Caenorhabditis elegans: one gene and its partners. The protein of the gene in region 1 interacts with the protein of each later gene in a pairwise test. Each region holds a gene or a part of one and is shown in the gene's direction. Other genes may lie near its edges.

Region 1 (7,653 bases):
TTTGGAAGTAACGTAACAGACGATATTGGCCATATAAAGTTCAACATTGTGAGGTTAAATCGTTGCAATTCAATTTTTTTTTTTTTTGATTATTCAATTCACCAAAACTGTCCCGTTCCCACTTCCTTCATTCAATTTTTTTCTGTTCTCCAACATACCGCAAAATTTTGAAATCATCTCACATTACACTGTCAGAAAGCCAATTAGCAAACACCTAAAACCAATTCAGACCTCCCTTTATGCTTTACCATTCCTCCCACGTTTAGAAAAATAATGTTCTTTCGTTAATCATTGTTGATGATTACGATTACGCAACAACAGCGGAAAAGGTCGTCGCCCTCCAAAAAGTGATATCCTAAACGATATTCCGGCTTTTGCCATGCCAATTTTTTGCGGCTGCCACCAATGTGGAAAGACAAAAAAAGCGTGTTTCTTCTAGAAGGTGTACACATACATTCAACTGTCTATTGATAAATGCCAAAGACCTGTTAACTGAATGATTAATTTGCCACTGCCCTTTCTCCTCCTCCTCCTCATATTGCCTAGAAGAAGCCGCCTTCCGAAAAAGGGACGGATGGGTGAAACTGAATCAGAATTGTGTTCTGTTCTTCTTTTCTCTCTTTTTCCCTTTCTTTTTTCTTATCAGATTACATATCAATTATGAATTTATCGGTTCTGTCATTATGCGATTTGGTAGGTTCTTCTAGGGATCAACTGAAATTAAAATTGGAGTTTAAAGGCAATTGTGCATTCATCTTTATTCCCAGATCGACCCAGTGTTTTATTGTTAACTTTAGTATTTTTATATTTGTATTTCCCATTCACCGGAATTATACTAACATGTAAATTCCTAATGAGTAAGTAATATACCTGTTATCTTTGTTCGGATCTTTATGTTAACGCCCAATTTTTTAATATGCTTGGCCTACTAGGAATGTATATCATTTTCTTCCAAATTTGGTTCCAATAGTTTTCTTTTTTTCTGTTGTAAAAATTTTTGTTAGAATCAGAATAAATTTCTAACATTTATTTTCGGAGGTACATGATTTTTTGGTCAAGCAGTGAAAAAGTGCAAACTGAACAATTACATATATTCTATCAGTATATCTTCATTTTTGATCACCATTCTGAGCAAATTTATAACACTTTGTAACATTGAATGCGTGCGAAACTTCTGAGCTACTGTACCCAAGAGTTTATATGATTCATTTACTTGCTTATAATTAATCAAAATTTAGAACAACTAAAGAATTTTACAACAATGAGACAAATATAAGAAACTTGTAAAACATGTGTTGATATATTTAAATGGTAAGGTCCAAGGGTGTGCGGCAAATTTGCCGAATTAGCCGGCCACGGCAAATTTGAAAAATGTGGACTTGCCGAATTTGCCGAGCTCGGCCAATTTCGAAATTCGCCGCACATCCCTAGTTTGCTCATGAAAGGGCAATGCGGTGATTTAGAGTTAAAATTGAAATTTTCTGGGAGCAGGTAATAAGATAATGTTTTTAGGTATGAACATTTTAAGCAAGAAATATATTAAAGTAACTTTAATCAAGAATTTGATATGCTTGCAAATTCCCTAGAAATAAAAAAAGGTTCACACGCTTTGTATGTTCTAGGAACAGTTATATTTCAGTGAGCTTTTATTCAAATGGATCATGAGATATAGCTGTTAATTTCTAGATCTCACAGGATCTTCTAACATCCACCTAGAACATCGACGATCACACTTCTGAACTTGTGTAAACTTCCTCTCTTTCTCCACCCTTACCATCAATTTCTGCAATATCTCAATTTCCTTCTATAATCAATCAAAGTTGCGTATACACACCCATCTCCGTGCCACGCCTTTACCTTTCCCATGGCATCGAAGGGTATTCACAATACCTCGGACAGCGTCCAGATGTACACGCAATTAAACATAGAGAGAAACACAGAGACACCTTCTGGTGTATTCCATTCTTTCATAATGCTTCTGGCATTGCCACGCGTACGGGGGGCGCAAACTTGAAAGATCCCCCACCTTCTCCCCCCGTCGGACACCATTCATTCCGTTTAGCCAATCAACCGGCCGATTATGTTGTTGCCTTTCGATTTCACGTCTTCTTTTTTCCCTCTTTTCTTCTTTTCGTTCGAAGTTGGCGTCGTTGAATTTCCTTCTTTCTGTATCTGGTTAACCGGTGTTCATGTCAGTGTTACGCAATCCATTCCCTTTTCCTCCTCCCTCTAGTGATAAGACTTGATATGATGGGACACTTCTACAGCTTGTTAGCTTGATGATGACAAAGTGAAAGGTACTGGATGAGGTTAAGGAAGTGACTCTGATAAGGGATACGGTAGCGTGGCTGATAGCGTAAGTTTAAGGATATCTTGAGCTTATTCTATTTGAACTACGTATATGCATATGACCTTACTGTTGTTTTTTGCTGACTGAAATACTATAAAGTAGAGCTTAAAATTGCAGTTTCCTTTCCTTCCAGCTTTAGATCTAACTTTGAGAGCTTTATGGTCTTTTCGCCTACACTGGAACTCTTTCTGGACCATGAGCAGATGAATGACAAGGTCTATACAGAGCCTTTTTTTAAATATACTTTTCCTATTAGACTTGCATCCCCTAGCTCCACTGAATGATTTTATCTCGGAAAAAAAAATTAAAAACAAGTGTCAAATGTTGAGCTATACTTCTGTAGTTGAGCGCCACAAGTCTAATAAAAAATACGGTAACTCAATCTTACTAAACTCCAATGGAGCAGCAGAGCATTTCATAGCAGTGAATGATTCCAAATCCAAAGTTATAGTTCCAAATATATTTAAAAAATCGATATTTGAAGAAATTCTGCAACTTACAGTCTGACGTTCATGTTCAAGCTTTATCGAAAGTCTAAGCCTATTATTGATAATTATTCATGCATGAAAATGTTCTCCCCGGCTTTTTCTCGATTTGTCATATTTCTTTTCCGCATTTCTTCACTTATTGTTTCTATCCCCTGCCATTTCATTTTCTCAAAACCAGCCTATCACAATCAAAGACTGTTGAGGAGAAAGACACTCCTATCGGTCAGGTTCGCATATCTTCTCCTCTGCGTCTCTTCATCTTGTATACTATTTCTTCCATCCAAATGCCTATTGGTTTCTTCTTGGGGCCCTCGTTTTCTCTCATTGCCAGCCACACCTTCCAGATATATGTTTGTTTCACGTCTTCTTCAACTTTTCTTCTTTTTTTTGTAAAATCTGTTGCTCTCTCTCTCTCTCTCTCTCTCACATCTCTTTGTATTTTGTTGATTGCCAATGATCAGAAAAAAGATTCGACGAAATCAAAGTTTTCTTGATTTTCCCTTTTCTAATTTTCAATTCTTATTTAGCCTCGAATTTAATTATTTTAAGGGTCACGATCTCGATGAGGTGGGTGCCGTTAGTGCTCCTGCCGTTGATCGCCTCGGCGGCAACAACCTATCAACATCGGCAGACCTATTGTAAGTTTTTAAAGCGGGTGCAACTTTCTACTTATTGAATTATTTTGTTAAATGCATAATGTTGAAAAAATTATCAGTTTGAACCGCTTCTATGGTGGCTCTTGCCTGCCTACGCGCCTACCTATCGCGTCCCGTTACCATTTTTGCAGACAGGCAGGTATTTTGTGCTTGGTCTCACTTCACTTTTTCCTTTTGAGCCTAGTGAAAACCTGAACTTGAAAAATATCTTTACATTTATAGATTGACCCCATTAAATTACAGTAACCTCGTTAGTTCCCATTACTTTTGCCCTCATTAGTATCTAATCAAACTTTGGCAAAACCAAATGTGTCACTTTGTTTTGTTATTTCAATTTCTGATTGGTTGGGATCGATGTTAGTGTAATATTTCATTTGCCCTTCCCTTCTTTTTCTCTCTCATTCCCATATCTCTAAACCGTTAGCTTCCCTTTCTTTGGCATTTTCATTATCATTACCAGTCCTCTTCGCAGTCTCATCCCACGCGCTCCCATGTGGAAATAGCTTGAAAAGTTTGGAGACCCTGAGAAAATGGTTAAGGGCGTGGCAGTTTTGGCACACCCAGATGTGACCTTGTGTGAACACGTATACATAAATGGCATTCTGATAGAAAGGAAGAAGAAGAAGAGAGGAGATCAAGACGTTTTTAGGGAGTGAAAAATAGAAAAATAATATATGATTCATCACTTTTTAATTTAATGAATTTAATGATTGTTGTGAAATGGGGAATTCAAAAATTTGGCAAATTCGGACTTTAATCGACTGTTTTTCAGCTAGTCTGCAATGCCGAGTAAACGACCCACTATCATGTAATCAAGCAAAAAGCGAGGTAAGCAAAAAACGAGATTCTACAAAAATAGCAAAGATCAACAACATCTTAAAATGTTTAGTCTGAAAATGAAAACTCAAAGTGAATTTTATAGAGGTGTTCAGATCGGATTTTTAGAGGATACCACGATGAAAAATTTTGCATATTATCTAGGAATACATTTTCTAGTTCTTAATTTTATAAATTGTTGTTGTTTTTTCTGGCTATGAAATATGTGATAAACCTTTAGGTTTGCGTATTTGTGAACGGGCAATACCGATGTGAATGTCCCGTTGGAGTATCCCGTCTCGCCGACGGTCGCTGCCTCGTCGTCAACGAATGTGCTCGTCCATCACTAAACGCTTGTCACAAGGATGCTCAATGTGTTGATCTCGCAGAAGGATACACGTGTCGTTGTAATTCTGGATTCGCTGACACATCACCAGATAAGGTTAACAAACCAGGACGTCAGTGTCAGAAGACAACGAATGAGTGCGGAGCTAAACAGACTTATGGTGTTGATTGTGATGAAAATGCAGCTTGCGTGGATACTCCAGAAGGTTTCCAATGCGTTTGCCAACCGGGATATGCTGATGTTTCCACTTCGATCTCTAAACTTCCTGGAAGAAAATGTGTTGAATCGGTCAATGAGTGTACTAACGGAGAGGCTGATTGCTCTAACAACGCTGACTGTTTTGATCGTGCTGATGGGTACGAATGCAAATGTCGCCCAGGATTTGTCGATGCTTCACCAAACGTTGACAAGTATCCAGGACGTGTTTGTAATAAGCCAAAAGCACCGGAATACTATGGACAACAAAGTCGTCAACCACAGTGCTCTGAGGGTTCCGGATGTGGACCAAATGAAGAGTGCAGATTCAATACTGCCGGAGAAAAAGTTTGCCAGTGTAGACGTGGAAGTGTTCAACAATCGAACGGAGTCTGCAAGGTTTTCAGTCAATGTGAACAAGCTAATGAATGTGACAGAAATGCATTCTGCTCTAACACTTACGATGGTCCAAAATGCCAATGTAAAGATGGATTCCTTGATGTCTCACCCGATCCAGTTAGACTCCCAGGAAGAAAATGTCAACAAGTTCGTAATGAATGTGCCGATGGATCCCATGACTGCTCTCATCAAGCTGCTTGTCAAGACACCCCAACTGGATACATCTGTTCTTGCAATTCCAACTGTATTGATGTCTCTTCTCGTTACAACTTGCCACCTGGAAGAAAGTGTAGCGTTGGTAAGTGTGTTTGGTGAACTATGACTATTTTGAGAAAAAAAAAACAGAAAACAGTTCTATTTGAAAATGTTCTTATTAAAAATATGATATCCAATTTAGAAATGCATCGAGATCCTGGTGAGTTGCATGAAATTCAATCAAAGCTAATTTATCAGTTGCAACGTAGAGAAATGCATGTTATAGCTTTTTTGGCCGAATGAACTTATATAACTAAAGTCTTGTTGGCATTTGGAAAATTTTCATCTGTGTACAAAACAAGGAAAATGAAATTTTTTGTTTAAAAAATATTTTTCACAACCAATAAAAAGTTCGCAACAACTTATAGCGACATACTCAATATTTGGCACGTCACAATATTCCTTTATTTCTACAATTTCAGCTGCCAATCAATGTTCTGACAAATCTCTCAACTCTTGCGATGAAAATGCTGATTGCGTTCAACTTCCGGATGGATACACATGCAAGTGCTTCGCAGGATACGTTGATGTCTCCTCAAATGCCAATCTTCCACCAGGCCGTGTCTGCACTCTTTCCACTGCTTGCCCAGCTCAACCAACTGATTTGGTCTTCTTGATTGATGGATCTGGATCAATTGGATCATATGTTTTCCAGACTGAAGTTTTGCGCTTTTTGGCCGAGTTCACCGAGTTGTTCGATATTGCACCCCAGAAGACACGTGTGTCAGTTGTTCAATATTCTGATCAAATCCGTCATGAGTTCGGATTGGATAACTATTCTGATCGTAAATCTCTTCAAAATGCTATCAGAAATATTGAATACTTGACTGGGCTCACTAGAACCGGAGCAGCCATCGAGCACGTTGCAAATGAAGCATTCAGTGAGAGACGTGGAGCAAGACCAGTCGGACAAGTCTCACGTGTAGCTATTGTTATTACTGATGGAAGATCTCAGGTGAGAATAGTTGAAACGTACCATTTTTAACAGTTGCAGGAAGCTCAACAGATGTACTTATGGTACTTTTAAAAAAATTAAAAAAATTAATTTAGGACAATGTCACTCGACCATCTGACAATGCTCGTCGACAAGATATCCAACTCTTCGCCGTTGGAGTAACCAACCACGTACTTGACGCAGAACTTGAAGAAATCTCTGGTTCCAAGGACCGAACATTCCATGTTTCTGGCTTCGAAGATCTTAACACTCGTCTACGTTCAGCCATCCAACGTGTCGCTTGCCCACATCAGAACAATGAGGATACTTATAACAAGGGACCATGTGATCCAAGCAATCATAATGGATGTGATAGATCATTGAATCAAGTATGCCAACAGAAGAATGGAAAGTTTGTGTGCGCGTGCCCAGCTGGTTTTGATATCCATCCAGTCACCAAGGTTTGCGGTGGAGATATTTGCAATCCGGAGATCGCCACGTCTTGCCCTGATCCAGAAATTTGTGAGAAAACTCCTTTCGGAAACTGGAGATGTACTTGTCCAGCAGATTTGGGATGGAGAGATCGGCTTACTGGAGTTTGCAGTAAGTTTATGACATCTTGAATTCTCTTAAAATAATTCATATTTTCAGAAATTGGTGAGAAGCCTGTACAAACTTCTGAATCAAATGATGAATGCTCACCAAACGACGTTCACAGTTGCCCAGCAAACTCGAAATGTGAAAAGGGAGCTGGAGGAGAATTCATCTGCAAATGCGACGCTGGTTTCCAACGCAACGGGCGTACAAACAAGTGTGAAGCTCCAGGAACTTGTGATCCAAGAATGCCAGACTCGTGTGATGCCAGAAAGAAAGAGAAGTGCCTTCCAGATGGACGTGGAGCATTTGCATGCATGTGTGATAGACATCATAAGAGACATCCAGTGACTGATATCTGCTGTAAGTTCAGGAAATATATGTTGTGTGAAGATTTAAAAAATTGTCTTCAAATTTAAAATATTGAATACTATGTATAACACAATTGAGAACAATTTAATTTGCAGTAATTGACGAGTGTGCTGCTGGAGTTGCTGATTGTGATCCAAATGCCAAATGTACAGATACTGATGAATCATACATCTGTACCTGCAATGAAGGGTTCCTTGACAAATCACCTGAACAGAACAAGAAACCAGGAAGAGTTTGCTCCAAACGTT
Region 2 (7,646 bases), on another chromosome or scaffold:
CAAACAAAGTCATATCCCCCCTCCTTCCAACCAACTCAAGTGTTGTTTCTGTGCTTTTGGAGATCGTTCGATAGTTGATGAGTCTCTTTTAGGTATTCAATCTTAGTTTGCTCTCAACTCTTTGCCCCTGCTTGTTGATACTTTTTACATTGTAATTAAGTGTCATTTGCAGTGATTGGGCCTGCTGCTTAGTTCTATTTCTGGATTGTGTAATTCTAAGTTTTTGATACAACTACTATGTATACTACTAGATTCCTAAAATTGCAAAAGGCTCTGTAAAATAATTGTAATGGTTTTTGCATTATTACGTACAACTGTTCTAAATTAATAAGTTATTTTTATAAGGTTTTGTGTTTGAAAACGTAAGGTACTTAGTGAAGTTTTATTAGTACAGGAAAAATAGTCAGAATTTTTTAATAAATTTTCTAGCTCGATCTACATAATTAGTATTCAAAACCTTGATTCGAAAATAATTGTCTCACTGTTAGTCAACAAATCATCACGGACTATTTGTCTTCAATTATCTTGTTCATATCCCTTCTTCTCGCCATAACCGGAAATGCCTCGAAACAAATACATGTGTCCCTTCACTCTTAATACACCCTATATTCCGGTCGTCCACGCACCTTTTTTTCCTCAGCAGTCCATCAAGTGTCCCTCCGTCCTTTTCTGTCATTTGCTGCACAATTCTATTCTTTCCAAAAACTCTTTTTGTAAGACCTGGGGTTATGTGTGCACTGTTATCAATACCATGCTCTTTTCCATGACCTTACGACCCCGCGCGCGCGCAATCGTTTTGTTTTGTCTATATGCGTGTTTTTTATTGACTGACTGACCACTACATATTTGCGGCATATTCAAAAAAAAGGTGTTTAGAGATAGACAATTAGGCGACGAGATGTATCATGCACACATACATTTTTATCTTCTCTAGCGTATTTTTGCGCCGTATTTTTTTTCTGATGCAAAGTCCCCAGATAATACCATAAGTAGAACGCGATCCGAGAAGCTAGCCACAGGGGTGATTTTTTTTCGTTGCTAATTTTTTTTTGCTTTTCAAAATTGTTGTTTTCCGTAAGTACAATTTTAGCATTTTTTTTAGGAACGACAAAAAATCGTCAGATCAATTTGTAATTTGAAATTTGAATCCAAATAATCTCTTGGTTTTAAAAATTTAGCATTTCAACAAATATCAACACAAAAACTAAGTTTAATTATTCAATGTTTATCAACTGAATTTTTATTAAATTGAAAAAAAAGTTGTTTTTAAAAGTTGTTTTTTAAAAATTTATTTCATCATGTTACCGTGAATTGAAAATTTGAACTTTTCAGTTATTTGAGAAGATTCCCTATTTTGAAAATGTTGGCAACATATTTTTGAGCGTAAAATGTTCACAATGAACTGTAATTTTTTGATTAATCAAAAATATATATCAGAATCAATTTTAAGGTTTGTGACCTCCAACATTTCCAAAAAACATAACTGATAGCATAACAAGTAAGTTCAAAAACTTTGCGTCTCTTGAGTATTATTGGGAGGTAGTTTGAAATTCCCCAACTATCTTTGAAACATTTGAGAATTTCACTTTTTAAAATTATGTAATTGATTCACTTGTTGGTATTTTTCCATGAAATTCCGACAGTTTGCCATTTCCAAATGCGCGGTCATTTGTCAACTGTGCTCCGCCTTGGCCTTCATTTCTACTCAATTTTCTCAGCAAAGTTTGTCCCGTCTAAACGGAACTACTAAACTTTTTTGCTTTTGCCGTTTTTATTTCGGAAATTTTTATTTGAATTTTCATCCAAATATTTTCTAAAAACGTATTTCGATATCGGTAACCCCAGCAAATCTCATTTTTCCGCATAACAGGACAAACACACTGTCCTTTTCGCTTCACTTTTTTGCTATCCCCTTCTTTTTTCCGTGTGCGTGCCGGGTGAAACTAGTCTCATCATTTGAAAATTGTCTGTATAATATCCGACCTACTACACATAAAATATATAGATGTTGGAGATGTTGACAGCCGGAAATTGTTTGGAACTAATTAGCTGCTGAGGGTTTTTTGCTGTAATTCAAGTGGACCCAGCACTTTTTGAGTATTTTGAATTTGTACTTACGCATAATTAAGCTTGTTCATTCTTATTTCTTTTAAATAAAAAAACTCCTGAAATCACAATAAAACAATATTGTCGCTTGTTATGGGATAAAACCCCATATTTCAGCTAATTTTATTAACACATACAAGTACATTAGGAACTAGATGATAATAAAAAAAAGTAGGAAATATTTTATCAGACGACAATTAAAAGTAAAATCAAAAGCATGAGCTGCCAAACTGAAACGAGCACAAAAAAAATGTCGAAATTGTACAAATACTCTCGAAAACCTTTTTTTTTAACTAAACGCTGAATTTCTATGTTTTCACTTTTTATAAACGTTTGAAAATTTTGTATATCTTCAATCACTCGGTCAACTGAAACTTTCCCTACTATTTCCAAATTACCGTCGAAATGCCACAGGGCAGCTAGCTGACCCCTGGCAACCACGAGATTCCCCCCCCCCCCCCCTTCATCTCTCTTGCCCGTGTTTCCTCTTCCGTTCTAATTACCTGCTTATTATCCGACAATACACCTGGCTCTCTAGGACCTTCTCTTTCTCTCTCGCGTCACTCCGGCAGCTAGCGTGTGCGGTACAGAAGAACAATCGTCAAGCGGCAAACTACCTTTTTTACCTCCAAACACAAAACAATTCGACTAGCTGCCGTCATTACTCCTATTTGGGATCTGCATTCAATGATCTACCACTCATGAAATATCAACATTTTCTCATATTTTGTACCCTGGTTACAAATGGTAAGTCTACTACTAAGATATGATGTCATTCGGTTTCACAGACTGATTGATCTGAGTGTGAAAAGTTTTGGTTTAGACTAGATGAGAGATAGAAATGTATAACACGAAGTTTAAGTGAACATCTCAAAAACTGAAAATCTAATTTAAATTCAAAATATGTTTGAGAAAGTTGATTTTGGGCTTTTAAGTGTTGAGCATTGTTGTATCTGAAAACTCTCAATTTTTGCAGCCCATCTCTTCTTTGATTTTGTAATCGTTTATATATTTTCAACTAAAATTGTAAACAAATAACTATTAACATATTTGTCGGTTAACAATTATTTCAGAAGCCCAGACCTTTTCAATAAAACACATGACTTCTTTCTCTGAAAATTAAATGAAGCTCGTATATTTCATACCAAAAAACAAAATAAATTTCTAAATTTTGTTTTCCAAAGATCAGTTCCAATCTAAAACTTGGACAAAACTACCAACTGACTTTTTGCAAAAAGTAATCCATCATTATCATTAAGACAGATGAATACCACAAGCTGTCACTAAAACTCTTTTCAGCACTATGTAACAGAGCGTGCAGTCGGAACACATGTCTTAACGGCGGAACTTGCACAGTGAACGATGAGACGCGAATGTTTCAGTGTGAATGTCCGAAGGGTTTCAGTGGGTTGCTATGTCAGGACAACTGCTCTTTGCACTGTCTCCACGGTAACTGCGTGAAAGGAACGTTTGGCGAAGAAACTTGCCAGTGCTCCGAAGGATGGATGGGCTCACTTTGTGATAATCTAGTTACTGATGATGACACTGCTCAAAAGTGCTCACCGCAATGTGGCGATGACGAAAGGTATACATGACCTTGTGCAAACCAAAAACATGTATGTTTTTTATAGATGCACAAAAGGAGCCGACGGATCATACATTTGCCAGAGCAACGAGCCGTCTTGCGCAACACACACTTGTCAGAATAACGGCACTTGTGTTGCCGAGAACGTGAGTGACTTGAGTCCAGAGTGATAAAAACCAATAGAATGTTCAGGGAAATGTAAAATGTGCCTGCCCACCTGGATTTGTTGGAGATCACTGTGAAACTGACGAGGACGAGTGCAAAGAAAATTTTTGTCAGAATGGAGCAGATTGTGAAAATTTGAAAGGAAGTTATGAATGCAAATGTTTAAAAGGATTTTCTGGTGAGTTTTGGTTTGAAAATTTGGATGGGAAGGATGAAATATAGTTTTCCAGTAGACATAATTGTGAAAAAAAAACCTGAAGTTTGAAAAACGTTTAGTTAGATTTTTTCAATAAGACTAGTGTGAATTTGATCAAAAATCATTTATAAGGTGCTAAATGACCAAATGTCATAAAAAATTTTCTAAACAATTCGGGGATTTTTTATCTCGAGTCAAAAATCGCATACATGTTTTTGCCACGTTTCGACAAATCTGAAGCATTGTCATGTTGATCCCTTTTGGCTCGAAATAAAATCATTTCTTCAGGTTGTTCAAAAAGTTTTATTATGATATTTGGACAAATACCCAGTTTTTTTGCAATACTTATAGTTTTCAACTTTCTTATTATTTTCTCAATTTTGTTAACGTTGCTGATTTGTTGAGAGTTTACATTCGAATAAATTATTTTATAAAAACAAAAGAAAACTAAGAAGAAACATGTTTTCACAATTTCTTCTAGGTAAATACTGTGAAATCCAAGACAAGAAACAATGCACTTCTGATTATTGTCACAACAATGGTCAATGCATTTCGACTGGCTCCGATCTCTCCTGCAAGTGCTCTCCCGGGTTTGATGGTGCATTCTGCGAGCTCAAAGCAGAGGTAACACCAATTTTCTCACTGTTAATTGCTTGTGTTTTTTCTCAGGTTAACGAGTGTATATGTGAAAACCCGGCTCATGTTTGTTCACTCGTAAACGGGACGTCAAGGACAACGCAATGCGAGTGTCCTTCGGGGTTTATGGTACGTTTGACGAATAATCTGGGCATGTTCGGATATGGGTCCCTCGCGCAATCTATCGTTTAATTGCAGGGTGCCGACTGTAAAGAGTTGCAAGCTCGTCCATGCGATCGTGAGCCGTGTCTTAATGGGGGTCACTGCGTCGACGACGGGCAGAATCTCTTCACCTGCTTTTGCCTTCCCTCTTTTACCGGCATCTATTGTGGAGAGCCTGTTGATTGTCTGGTTAATGGATCGGATTGTAAGAATGGGGGAAAGTGTGTGTTCGCGTTAGCCGCAACTACCTGCCAGTGTCCGGAAGGATTCAATGGGTCCAATTGTGAAATAAGTAATTCATATCGGTCACATCCAACATGCAGTGACATTCGATGTTTGAATGGTGGAAGCTGTAAACTCGACGCAGAAGGGGAACCGTTTTGTGTATGTGAAGAAGGGTTTGATGGACCGTTCTGTGAGCCAAAATCTGGATGCACAATTAATCCCTGTCAAAATGGAGGAACTTGCCAAGATGCAGGTAATAAGAAAAAGAATAGAGTTTTTTAGGGAGCTGTAAATTAATTTTTGTGCTGATACTGATACTCTTTAAAGTTTTACAATTTTTCAGATGGACAATACTTCTGTCATTGCACATCAGGCTTTGGTGGCGTCCACTGCGAAACGGTGGATGAGCCTTCAACCCCTATTCCCACATTAGGAACGTTTCCATCTTTTACAACTTCTGGAATCGACGGATTCTCTCAGAGTGTGAGTGTTTTAGTTTTTTATTCAAAATTCGTTCATAATAAATACTTGCAATATTAAAATTTTTCAGAAAATATCTTGCGAAGACTGCGTCAACTCATCCAATTGTCTTGACGTCGAATCTGGGCCAGTTTGCATTTGTGATGATGGATATTTTGGACAAAAATGTGATCAGAAACATGATGTAGGTTTTTTTTAAATGAAAAACAGTGTAGAAGAATGCTGAAGTTTTACGAAATTTAATTGTGTCTTTTGAATTCAAAAAACTAAAACTAAAATTATATTTTTAGTCTTTTCTATGTTTTGTAACATAAAGAAATTAGTCCCTGATTTTGTTCTACATTAAATTTGAGACAGTAAGTTCAAACAGTTTTCCAGAATTGTTGGTATTATATATGTACTTTAAGAAAATTTTAAAAAGTAAAAAATGTAGACAAATCATTCCATTCTTATTTTCAGAAATGCTCTAAAGTATCCTGTCCATCTGGTCAAACTTGTAGCCAAGTGAATGATAACGTGAATATCACTGCACAATGTGGATGTGAAATAGGCCACTTTGGACAACAGTGTGAAATGGTGACGTCAGCAACATTTTCGGCGAAAAGTTTGTATATTCATCAGAGCTCCAAATTCTCCCTTGGGTACTTTCTTTTTCTCTAACTATATATTTTATGAAAAAAGCATTTCAGAACTTCTTCATTCGAAAATATTGCCTATGAACTAGAGTTTTCGTTCCGCACAACTGTGGAAAATACCCATTTGGCGAGCAGCGAGAACATTCTCGGAGAGAAGATTTTGTCTATTCAACTTTTGTCGGGATACTTGGTGTTCAACATGACCGGAAATTCGTTGGAGCACCTGCTGCCAATGAGAGTTAGCGATGCTCAATGGTATACAGTGTTTGTAAAGGGAGAGGATAATGTAAGTTTAAATTTTTTTTAACTTGAGTATATATTTTTAATTTATTACAGAAAATCCAAATCGAAGTCTCCACTGAAAATGGGTTCAGTCTAGTTCAAAAGTCAGTCAACGGACAGCTTGAAGTGTTCCTCACCAGATTTGGAAAGGTATTAGCGTATGAAATACACTCTTTACTCAATAAACTGATTTACAGATCTCTGGAACTCATCACTTTATAGGATGCATGGCTGATGTTCGAGTGGACGGGGATCTCATAATTTTTGCAGATAACAAACGAGCAATTGATATTAGAAAAGGGTGCACTAGAAGTGAACAGTGCACCAGAGCATACTGTCAGAATGAAGGTTAATTTTTTCTGAATGATGAAGTTACAAAAATAAAGCTTCAGGAATTTGCATTGACCATTGGGAGAGCTCAAGTTGCAAATGTAAACCTCCATACCTGAAACCAAATTGTGTATATTTCCTCCCCAAAACGACCTTTGGACATTTGGACCAGCCCTCAATTGTGCATTTGAGGTAATTTGTCAATAATGTGGAATTTTTTTTTTGCAATTTGTGCTAATTGAGCAAAACCTAGAAATTTGGAATCCAAAGCACTAATACTAAATAAACACAATAATTGGACTATTTAGCACAAGCGAATCGGAAAACCACCTGCTCCGTAATCACATCGAGTTGAGCTTCTTAATGCATTCCGGCAAACCGGATGCCGTTCTGTTCTATATTGGCGAGAAGCACGCCGCAGATGTTCTGACTAATTATCTCGTCGTCAAGATTGCTGGCGGTCTTATTACAGGTGAGTCGAATCAATTGAACACCTGACGAGTTGGGGATTAATTTGCGAAAAGAAGTGGAAACATGTTGGTGTTGGAAAAGGTCTTGTGAATTCTGGAAAAATGAAAAAGCTATAACTAATAATTTTTTATGTATTCAAATGAAAGCGCATACGGAATTTTCATGAACAGCGATAAAAACTCATAAAGAACCCCACTTCCTCCTTCACAGTCCAGTAATATTCTGTGATTCAACAATTTCAATGAAATTTTCACTAAGATAGTTGAACAAGCGGGAGAAATTGTGCAAAAAATGATTGAAGCGTGAGAAATATGTGTTCTTCGTAAATCCACACAATGTGAACACTGTCACGCAATAATGCACAAGACACAGG
Region 3 (9,537 bases), 5.5 Mb from region 1:
TTTCTGTAAGAGAAGGTTCCTGATGCTCTCGAAACTACAGTAGTCGATAGTATACCATACTTCCTCGAATAGTAGTGCAACCCATAAATTCATCTTGGCGGTCCTAGGAATGATCAAAAATTGCCAAGTTTTTATTATTAATTTTTGTTTAGTAAAAAGTTTTAATTGGTTGAGATATCAGTAAAGTTTATTAGACTCAAAATTGTCAGAAAACACCGAATTTGATAATGAAACTTTTTGAAAAATGCTGAAAAAAGTTTTAAAAAAAGTTATGGCGGCTCAAAAAATGACCTCAAATTAGTTGAATTTTGAAATTTGACCAACTTGTCTATGTCGCAAGTTACCAAATCTGGTGATCCTTCGACCTTAATTGTACTCAAGTTGAGTTGAAAAAGAAAAATAATTGATTTCCATACCTAAAATTAGACGGTGATTTCAAAAAAAAATAGTTTCCAGCCGCTTGACAAGTCTGTCAAATTTCAAATTTTAACCTATTTTAAGTCATTTTTTGAGCCGCCATAACCTTTTTTTTGAGAAGTTTTAAAGAAGTTTAATTATGAAATTTCGTGTTTTCAAACAATATAGAGTCTAATAAAGCAATTTTTAAAAAATTGACTAAAGCACCTTTAAGTGCGAGACTAATATAGAAAATACGACATGGTCGCTGTGGCTAAAAGTAGATCTTTTTGCACAGGTTACGTTACTAAGCGCTCTTACAGTAACCTTTCACTAATCCTATAAGTTTTGTGAGTGAACTCGCTGACCTTGGCAAGATTTTTAAATTTTGAAGCTCTTTGAGCCATCATAAGGAGTCAAAATTTGCCCAGCTCGGCAAACTCCAAAAAAAAATTTTAAAAAGTTTTAATGATATTTCTAGGAGCTCCAAAATTACTAAATTCTTAGCACAAGTTTAATTTTTGAATACCTCAATTTTATGTTTTTTTACTATAATTTTTTGAACAAAATCAATAGTTTCGGTCAATTTTTTAAAATCCAATTTGAGGTGTTTGCGGCAAATTCGCCACAATTGCCGCACACTCCTAATAAGGTCATTTCTAATTGCAGTACTTCTCCGGAATACATTTCACGAAACTGTATCACAAACTAGAATGACGTCTCCCCCTTATCACACTTTCACTCCTCCTCCTCCTCCGTCGACATGTATATAAATTTTATGAAAAAGCCCCGACATTTAATCACGAAAATGCTGACACTTTTTTAAGACACCTATACTGATAAAGAGTTCGGTTCACATTACGTCCTTTTCACTTTACTTGATCTCTCTTTTTTTTTGTCTCAACTCTATCATTTTTCCAACAAAAAAAAACTAGTTTCTCATATGTGTGGGAGGTGTGTAAATCATCTCGGCCTCCTTTTTTTCTTTCTTTTTTTGTCTTTTTTCGAAACAATTTCCGTTTCACATTTTCTGCACTTTTATTGCTTTCTTCAGTTCTCTAGAAAATATTTTTAAATTACCTAATATTTTTCCACGTGATATTGTTGCTACTTATGTTATCACATGAGCCTTTTAAAGGGCATCTAATAATATTTTTTTTATATATAAATTGTATTAAAATCAGAGATCAAGCGATCAGAAGATGATTTTTTTAAAGGATTCTTATTTTTTTCCTAAGAATCTTGTAGATCACAATTTTTGAACACAAATTAATTTGAAGCTTAAGCCTAAGCCTAGGCCTACGCCTAAGCCTAAGCATTAGCCTCATCTTAAGCCTAAGTAAAATGTTTTTGTAAAAATTCTGATGAGTTCTAAAAAATCACTAATTATTTTGTTGACTCCTTCTTTCCCCAACTAGTTTGAAAAAGTTCAATTCAAGCCCTGAAAATTTGTACCTTTTTTTTTGTAGTTCCTCCCTAGTTTCCACAACTTTTCTGGGAGTTTGTCGAAAAAATAATAATGTAGCCAAAAAGTAGAGAATACCGGAAATTCGACCCCAAAAAATTCAAATTTTCAACAACTTTTTTCTGAGATTTTTGAAGGATTTTTGATGGATGAAAACACAAAATACTTGATCTTTACATTTTCTCAACTTATTTTTTGAAGTTCAAGACATAGAATTTGTGTCTTTTTGAATTCAGAAGACCATTTAGAGGCAGTCTTATGTCCATCTCTCGCCTACATAAACGGCACATCAAACGATCTTGACCAAAGTTTTGTTTCACCTTTTTATTTTCTAGAAGTCTGCCAAAGTCTGTAAATTAAAATTAATTAAATTCCCAGTAGCTTAACAATAATTTTTACACTTTCGCCTCGTTTACAGGGAGGTAGATCAAAATCGTTTTTTTTTTCCTTCACTTTTCACTTGCAAGTCTCTCGTTTTTGCTAGATAGATAGATGCTTGATGGCAGGAAATACAATCTGGTTCTTCTTCTGCTTTTCCTTCATTGACTATCTATAATCTCTCTCCTCGTGTTTCTTATTATGCGCTTGTGAATTTTTTTTGAATGCCTCACATTTTCAGTCTTGCAATTCTTATTGCTTTGCAGAAAGCAATAAGAATTTTTTTTGAAGTTTTTTTTTCTGTTGAAAAGTTTCCAATTTTTTGTAAGAATTTGTTTGCTTTTTTGCTTTTTTGAACTTTTGGCATGAATTTTTTGGTTTTTCATATAACTTTTTCCTGGAATTTTTTTCCAAAAAACTTAAAAATTTGTGCAAAGCGGAGTTTTCAAGCTAATTTCTTTTTATCTTGTTAAAACTGATTTTTTTTTGAAAATTTTATGTCAAAATTTTTTTCATAAAAGTTGTAGAAGCTTAAAATTAAATGTTTACCTAATTTAAGAACCACTTGAGGTTTTTTTCAGAAATTGTATTTTTGAAAAATAAAATATAAAATTTTTCGATTTTTTGAAAATTTTCTAAACTTTTTTAAGGCAAAAAATATTTTTTTTTCTATTCTTTTTAATCTAAAAATTGCCGGATTTTTTTTGAATTAAACGATGAAATTTGAAGAAAAAAAATCTGGCATTTAAGTCGGTATTTTTTGAAAAATAACTGAAAATTAAAAAAAAATTTTTTGGAAAAAAATCCAAAAAAATACAGATTTTGAAAATATTCACGAAATTTCACTGGCTTTGAAACTTTAAAAAATGCACTGAAAACCTTCGAATTTTTCAATTCAAAGTACTAACTTTTTCATAAGAATCTAATTTTAGAAAAAAATGTATTTCTATTGAAATACGTCCAAAAGTAAGCTGGCTCGCGGAGCTCTTGGAGCTTCATATCCAAAAAAAAAACAAATTCCTGCATGACTCGAAAGATCTTTGATTTTTAAAAATTTGCATAAAAAAATCTTGCGACCTTCCTTCCCACTCAATTTTTTTCCTTTTTTTCCTATCAGCCAGAACGTTTTCCCATATTCAATTTTGTTCTCCATTTCCTTTTCCTATTCTCCTGTTTATTGTGTTCCTTATTCTCTTTTTTCACCCCATTTTTGTCTTGTTTATTTGTTTGTCAAAACGCATTCCACCGCTCCCCAGTCTTTGTGTTGTTCTTTGAAAGGGGACAACAAAAAAAATCGCGGAACTAAGTAACTAAGTTTTTCATTTTGAAATTTCGCTGCTCTTGTCAGAGTGTCCCACGTCGTTTTGATCTACGAAAATCTACAAAAATTGCGGGAATTTTTGGTAGATCAAACCTTGATGGGACAGCCTGACACACATACACGTGCCGTACTCATTTCTCTTAATTCCCGTTAAATATATTTTTTGAAATCTCTAGAACTATGACAATCTCAATGATATCTCCGTCATCAATCCGCCTATCCAGTGACAAACGTGACTCTTCCTCATCCAACCTGCCCGCCAACATCGAAGAGGACACCCAGTCGGTGTCCTCTTCGGATTCTGGAGTATCTGCCGACTCTATTGACCACCATCATCACGGTCATGGGCATGGGCACTCTCATGGGGGTCATGGGCACTCACACACACACAATAATGATGATTCCTCTTCGGATTGTAGTGGAGCAGGAGGAGGAGCGCATAAGCATAGTCATGATGAGAAATATCAAAAGGTACATAGCAAATTTTTTTGCAACATGGCTCAACTTTTACCTCTATTAAAATGACCATTATATTAAAACTAAATTTTTCAAAAAATGTTGCTTTTAATTTTAATTATTGCTATCTATGTAAAAAGCCCAAAATCGACCATTTTAGCATAAAAATGTGTTTTTTTTAAAATCAAGCCAAAACACGAGCTCGCAATTATACATATCAGAGGAAATTTTCAACTCCGGCAATTTGCCGATTTGCCGGAAATTTTCAATTCCGGTAATTTGACGATTTGTCGGAAATTTCCAATTCCGGCAATTCGCCGATTTGCCGGCAATTTTCAATTCCGGCAATTTGTCGATTTGCCGATTTGCCGGCAATTTGTCGATTTGCCAGAAATGTTCAATTTCGGCAATTTGTCGATTTGCCGGAAATTTTCAATTCCGGCAATTTGTCGATTTGCCGGAAATTTCAATTCCGGCAATTTGTCGATTTGCCGATTTGCCAAAAATTTTCAATTCCGGCAATTTGGCGATTTGCCGGAAAAAATCGTTTGCCGCCCACAAATATCTAGCAATACGACGACTTCCTGTGAATTGAATATTTCATCCTAAAATGTTGAAAAATATTGGAAAAGTGTCGAAAATTTCAATAACTGATTTTTTTTCCAAATTTAAATTAGTTTCCCTGAAAATGTTCTTGAAAAATTGCAATTTTATTTGAAATATATAAAAATCAAGGCATTTTTCAGTTAGCGGGACGTTTTTTTGACAAAAATGCGAAAAAAAAACGCAAAAAATATGACAAGAATTTATACATTTGAATATTTTTCTGAAAAAATCAAAACATTATTTGACGCGCAAAATATTTCGACGCGAAAACTACAGTAATTCTTTGAATGACTACTGTAGTGTCGATTTACGCGGCTCTATGTTCATAGATTTATCGATATAATATCAAAATTAAGCAAAGAATGAAAACAAAGATAATACGAAAAAGCAAAGAAAAACTGCGCTAAAGTAGTAATTTATTGAATTACTGAATTACTACGAGATATTTTGCGCGTCAGATATGTTGTGCAATACGCAGTCTCACGTGATGTCAGAATGTCTCATTTCGGCTTTATCTACGTAGATCTACAAAAAATGCGGGAGAAGAGACGCAGAGTTCGTGCTGACGTCACATTTTTTGGGCAAAATATTCCCGCATTTTTTGTAGATCAAACCGTAATGGGACAGACAGCCTGGCACCACATGCATTCTCAGAATTCAGTGTTACCGCACAATTTTAGTAGTAATTTTTTTAAAAACACAGTGTATAACTTTAAAAAAAAACATTTTTTCGCCAAAAAAAAAATGGACATAAAATTTTTTGTTTGGATTTTCCAACTAATATTTCTCGTTTCCAGGGTCGCCGAGCAGAAAAAGTGCTATGGGCAGTTGCAGCACTATCCGCAGTCTTCATCGCCGCCGAGTTCGTCGGTGGATTCTGGGCTCAATCGCTAGCAATTATGACAGACGCCGGACACATGCTCAGTGATCTTCTCTCATTCATCATCTCAATTTTTGCGATTCGTTGTGCACGTCTTCCCGCATCGAAGCGTCTTTCATTCGGTTACGAGCGAGCCGAAGTTCTTGGTGCTCTGACGTCTGTGATCATTCTCTGGGTGCTCACGACAGTGCTCGTCGTCGTCGCTATTCAGCGAATTGTGAACAATGAGCATGAGGTGGATGCTGATGTGATGCTCATCACCGCGGGCGTCGGAGTCCTTTTTAATATCGTTATGGGATTGGTGTTGCACTTCGGAACTGGAGGTCATGGGCACACTCATGGAGGACACTCAAGTCATGGACATGCTCATGATGGAAAGAATGTGAATGTTAGAGCTGCTCTGATTCATGTCATTGGAGATTTGGTGCAATCCATTGGAGTCCTGATTGCTGCCCTTATCATTAGGTTTACCGGATGGACACTTGCCGATCCGATTTGCACATTCCTTTTCTCGATTATCGTGCTCTTCACGACGGTTACAGTTATGCGGGACATCTTTTTCGTTTTGATGGAAGCCACACCGAGCCACTATGACTTGAGTGATGTGAAGAAGGCGTTGAGTGCGTTGGAAGGTGTAAAAGGTGTTCATGATTTGCATTTATGGTCTATTGGAATGGATAAGACTGCGTTTTCGGTGCATTTGGCACTTGGTGAGTGGCTTCTCATTTTGGAGTTTTGAGTAAAACTGAGAAAATTTTGGCGGAAAATTGAAATTTTTCAATAAAGATTTTGGCGGGAATTCAAATTTTTCAATAGTTATTTTGGCGGGAATTCAAATTTACTTTTAAAAATGTTTGCCGGGAATTTCAAATTTTTAAAAAATAATTTTGGCGGGGAATTCAAATTTTTCCATTGAAGTTTCTACCGGGAAATTCAAATAATTTAAATATATATTGTGGATATAAATGCAAATTTATTCAATCAATTTTTGGCCGGAAATTCAAAATTTTAAATGAAAATTTTGAAGGGAAATTCAATTTAGAGCAAAAATTGGATTTTAAAAATTTCAAATTTTCTCTGAAAAACTTTGAATGAAATTTAAATTTTCTGAATAATTTTTGGCGGGAAATTCAAAGTTTTGATATAAAGATTTTGGAGGAAATTTAAATCTTCTGAGAATAATTTTTAACGGGAAATTCGAACATTTTTTATAGGAATTTTGGCGGGAAATTCAAAATTTTAAACTGTTAGTTTTGGCGGCAAATTCAAACTTTGGCTATAAAATTTTTGGCGGGAATTCAAACAATTTTCTTTCGAAAAATTTGCCGGGAAATCGAGTTTTCCTTTAAAAATTTTTTGGCAGGAAATTCAAATTGTCTCTCTGTTGCACGTGGGGTCAGAATGTCTTATTTCGATTTGATCTTCAAAAAATGCGGGAGTTGAGACGCATACATCTCATCTGACTTCGCATGGTTAAGAGCGTGCTGACAATTTTTCTGTAAAAATATTCCCGCATTTGTAGTAGATCAAGCCGCAATGAGACAGCCTGACACCACGTGCTATTGAAGTTTTGAAGATAAATTCAAAATTTTCAATAACAGTTTTGGCGAGAAATTCAAATTTTTTAAATGAAACTTTTGAAAAAAAATTCAGATGTGCTCTAAAAAAATTGGCAAAAAAATTCAATTTTTTCCAATGATTTTTGGTGGGAAATTCAAATTTTTAAATGAGAATTTTGAAGGGAAATTCAAATTTTTTGAGAAACAATTTTGGCGGGAAATTCAAAGTTTTCTGGAAATTTCCTGGAATGTTCTGCAAGGGAAAAGTGCTGCCTTTCATGATATTGAATTTTAATATTTAATAAAAATATATTTTTCTAACTCTTCCAATATTCCAGAATCTCCTAACCGCGCCATGGAAAATGTTGCCGAAGCCCGTTCCCTGATCCGCCGGCGATTCGGAGTTGCCGTCGCCACTGTCCAAGTGGAGCCGTTCGACGAGAAAATCGATTCCTGTGACACGTGTCAACAACAGGAAACTGCTTGATTCCAGTCCTCCATCGTTCTTCTAATCTATTACGATACGGGCAAACTTCTACGTTTTTTTTTTCCAATCAATTTCATTTTTTTCAAAACGTTTACTTTTCTCGACTTTTCCTGTCAGTTTTTTGACCTACTCACACGGGTTGTATTCATTTGGCACATCCAGAGATGCCTACTAATGTTCATATTTTTCCTTACTGTCCAATCCTGTCAAATCGATAATAAATGGCTTTAATTTTTTTTTTTTGAAATTTTTGAAAGAAAATCGAAATATTAAAAAATCAATAATTTATTCAAAATCAATATTTCTGAAAAATCGATAATTAATAGAAAGTCAGTAATATTCGAAAAATCAATATTCTAAAAATCGATCATTTTTTTGAAAATTGATATTTTCAAAAAATCGATAGTTTATAGAAAATCAATAATTAAAAAATCGATTGTTTATAAAAAAATCTCTATTTTTGAAACATTGTTAATTTGCTACGAATCAGTTTTTTAATTGATAAATCTTATAAAACCAGTATTTTTAAAAATTGATAATTTTAGAAAATCAATATTTAAAAAAAAATCGATAATCTATGAAAAATCAATATTTAAAAAATCAAAAATTCATTATGGCTCAATGTTTGAAAATCGATCATTTTTTTTCAATATTTAAAAAATAATCGATAATCTATGAAAAATCAATAATTTAAAATAAATCGATAATTGTATTCCTGAAAAATCGAACACTGAAAGAAAATCAATATTATTTTTTGTTGAAAAATCAATAGTTTTTATTGAAAATCTATATTTTGAAGAACAACACAAAATCGAACGAAAAATCCAATATCTTTATTCATTTTCCACCCAAACTGTTTTATTTAAAGCGGGAAAATACTGAAGTAAACGAGAACGAATAAAACCAGACAAATCGTCCAAATTCCGAGCATTGTCCAGTAGACGATTTTCGCGTTTTTCTGGAAATATTTGAAGATTTCTTGGGAGGAATATTTTGCACAATAGTGGGGAGAAAATCGATAAATTAAAAATGTATATATCGATAATCTATGGAAAATCAATAATTTTAATAAAATCGATAGTTTATAGAAAATCAATATTTAGAAAAAAATCGATAATCTATAGAAAATCGATATTTTGTAAAAAAAATCAATATTTTAAAAATCGATAATCTATAGAAAATCAATGTTTGAAAAATCGATAATTTATTGAAAATCACTAATAAAAAAAATCGATAATTTATAAAAAACAATATTTTGTAAAAAAAATCGATAATCTATAAAAAATCTATATTTTGCGAACAATCGAACTTTTATAAAAAATCGGTATTTAAAAAATCGATAATCTATAGAAAATCGATATTTTGTGAAAAAATCGATAATTCATAGAAAATCAATATTTTTAAAAATCGATAACGTAAAAACTCACAAGCTTGTTCTTCAACTTTTTGATCTTCGCCTTATTGACTCTCGGCTTAATGGACGAAGGATCCGACTCGGGCAACTCCTGAACCCCATCACCAACCACATCACCACTTGCCACCTTCTTATCCGATACGAGCCCACCGGCGGCTCCGTGAGCATCTGGCGGTGGCGGTGGCGGTGTTCCTCCGACTGTCGGCGCATTTGGATTCAGATTGTCGTAGGGCATCGCGGCGAGATTGTGGTACTCGTCATCGGGTTTTTTCTGATCATTCGCGACGGGAGCAGTTGGATCGAAAAATGCATCGGCCATTGTTTGCAGAAGATGAGAATTTTCTTTTATTTTATTATTTGATTTGCCACCGAACTCTCTTTGAAACAGAAATAAATTTTTTTGAGAAGGGGAGGAAGGGGCGATTATATCATTTAAAAGTTTACGGAATTTTCAAAATAAATAGTAAATTTTTTCCCACTTTTTCTGATTTTTTTTTTTTTTTTAAAGTTCAAAATTTTTAATTTTCATAAATCAAAAATTTGAAAATGATTTTTTTTACATTTATTATTATTTT

What was found.
Region 2: the proteins of mup-4 (region 1) and crb-1 interact in a two-hybrid assay, tested with the Caenorhabditis elegans proteins (one large-scale study listed by BioGRID).
Region 3: the proteins of mup-4 (region 1) and ttm-1 interact in a two-hybrid assay, tested with the Caenorhabditis elegans proteins (one large-scale study listed by BioGRID).

Annotation. Positions count from the first base shown.
Region 1 is NC_003281.10:7,484,810-7,492,462, reverse strand, and holds the start of mup-4 (Transmembrane matrix receptor MUP-4), read left to right. Parts: upstream 1-3,357; 5' UTR 3,358-3,400; coding exon 3,401-3,476; intron 3,477-4,266; coding exon 4,267-4,322; intron 4,323-4,551; coding exon 4,552-5,548; intron 5,549-5,927; coding exon 5,928-6,460; intron 6,461-6,555; coding exon 6,556-7,042; intron 7,043-7,090; coding exon 7,091-7,396; intron 7,397-7,500; coding exon 7,501-7,650; intron 7,651-7,653. UniProt on the Caenorhabditis elegans protein: Required for junctional attachments between hypodermis and muscle, and between the apical epithelial surface and the cuticular matrix.
Region 2 is NC_003284.9:17,409,011-17,416,656, reverse strand, and holds the start of crb-1 (uncharacterized protein), read left to right. Parts: upstream 1-2,642; 5' UTR 2,643-2,807; coding exon 2,808-2,853; exon of another isoform or gene 2,854-2,965; intron 2,966-3,405; coding exon 3,406-3,691; intron 3,692-3,737; coding exon 3,738-3,837; intron 3,838-3,883; coding exon 3,884-4,034; intron 4,035-4,533; coding exon 4,534-4,676; intron 4,677-4,721; coding exon 4,722-4,817; intron 4,818-4,886; coding exon 4,887-5,328; intron 5,329-5,418; coding exon 5,419-5,558; intron 5,559-5,625; coding exon 5,626-5,739; intron 5,740-6,014; coding exon 6,015-6,196; intron 6,197-6,244; coding exon 6,245-6,476; intron 6,477-6,526; coding exon 6,527-6,622; intron 6,623-6,669; coding exon 6,670-6,820; intron 6,821-6,864; coding exon 6,865-6,994; intron 6,995-7,110; coding exon 7,111-7,274; intron 7,275-7,646.
Region 3 is NC_003281.10:12,951,216-12,960,752, reverse strand, and holds ttm-1 (Zinc transporter ttm-1), read left to right. Parts: upstream 1-3,581; 5' UTR 3,582-3,740; coding exon 3,741-4,031; intron 4,032-5,419; coding exon 5,420-6,212; intron 6,213-7,399; coding exon 7,400-7,548; 3' UTR 7,549-7,784; downstream 7,785-9,537. Other genes in the region: Y39E4A.1 (uncharacterized protein), read right to left, coding at 8,411-8,506, 8,976-9,281. UniProt on the Caenorhabditis elegans protein: Promotes excretion of zinc from intestinal cells into the intestinal lumen in response to increased dietary zinc. Involved in cadmium resistance, possibly by promoting its transport from cells.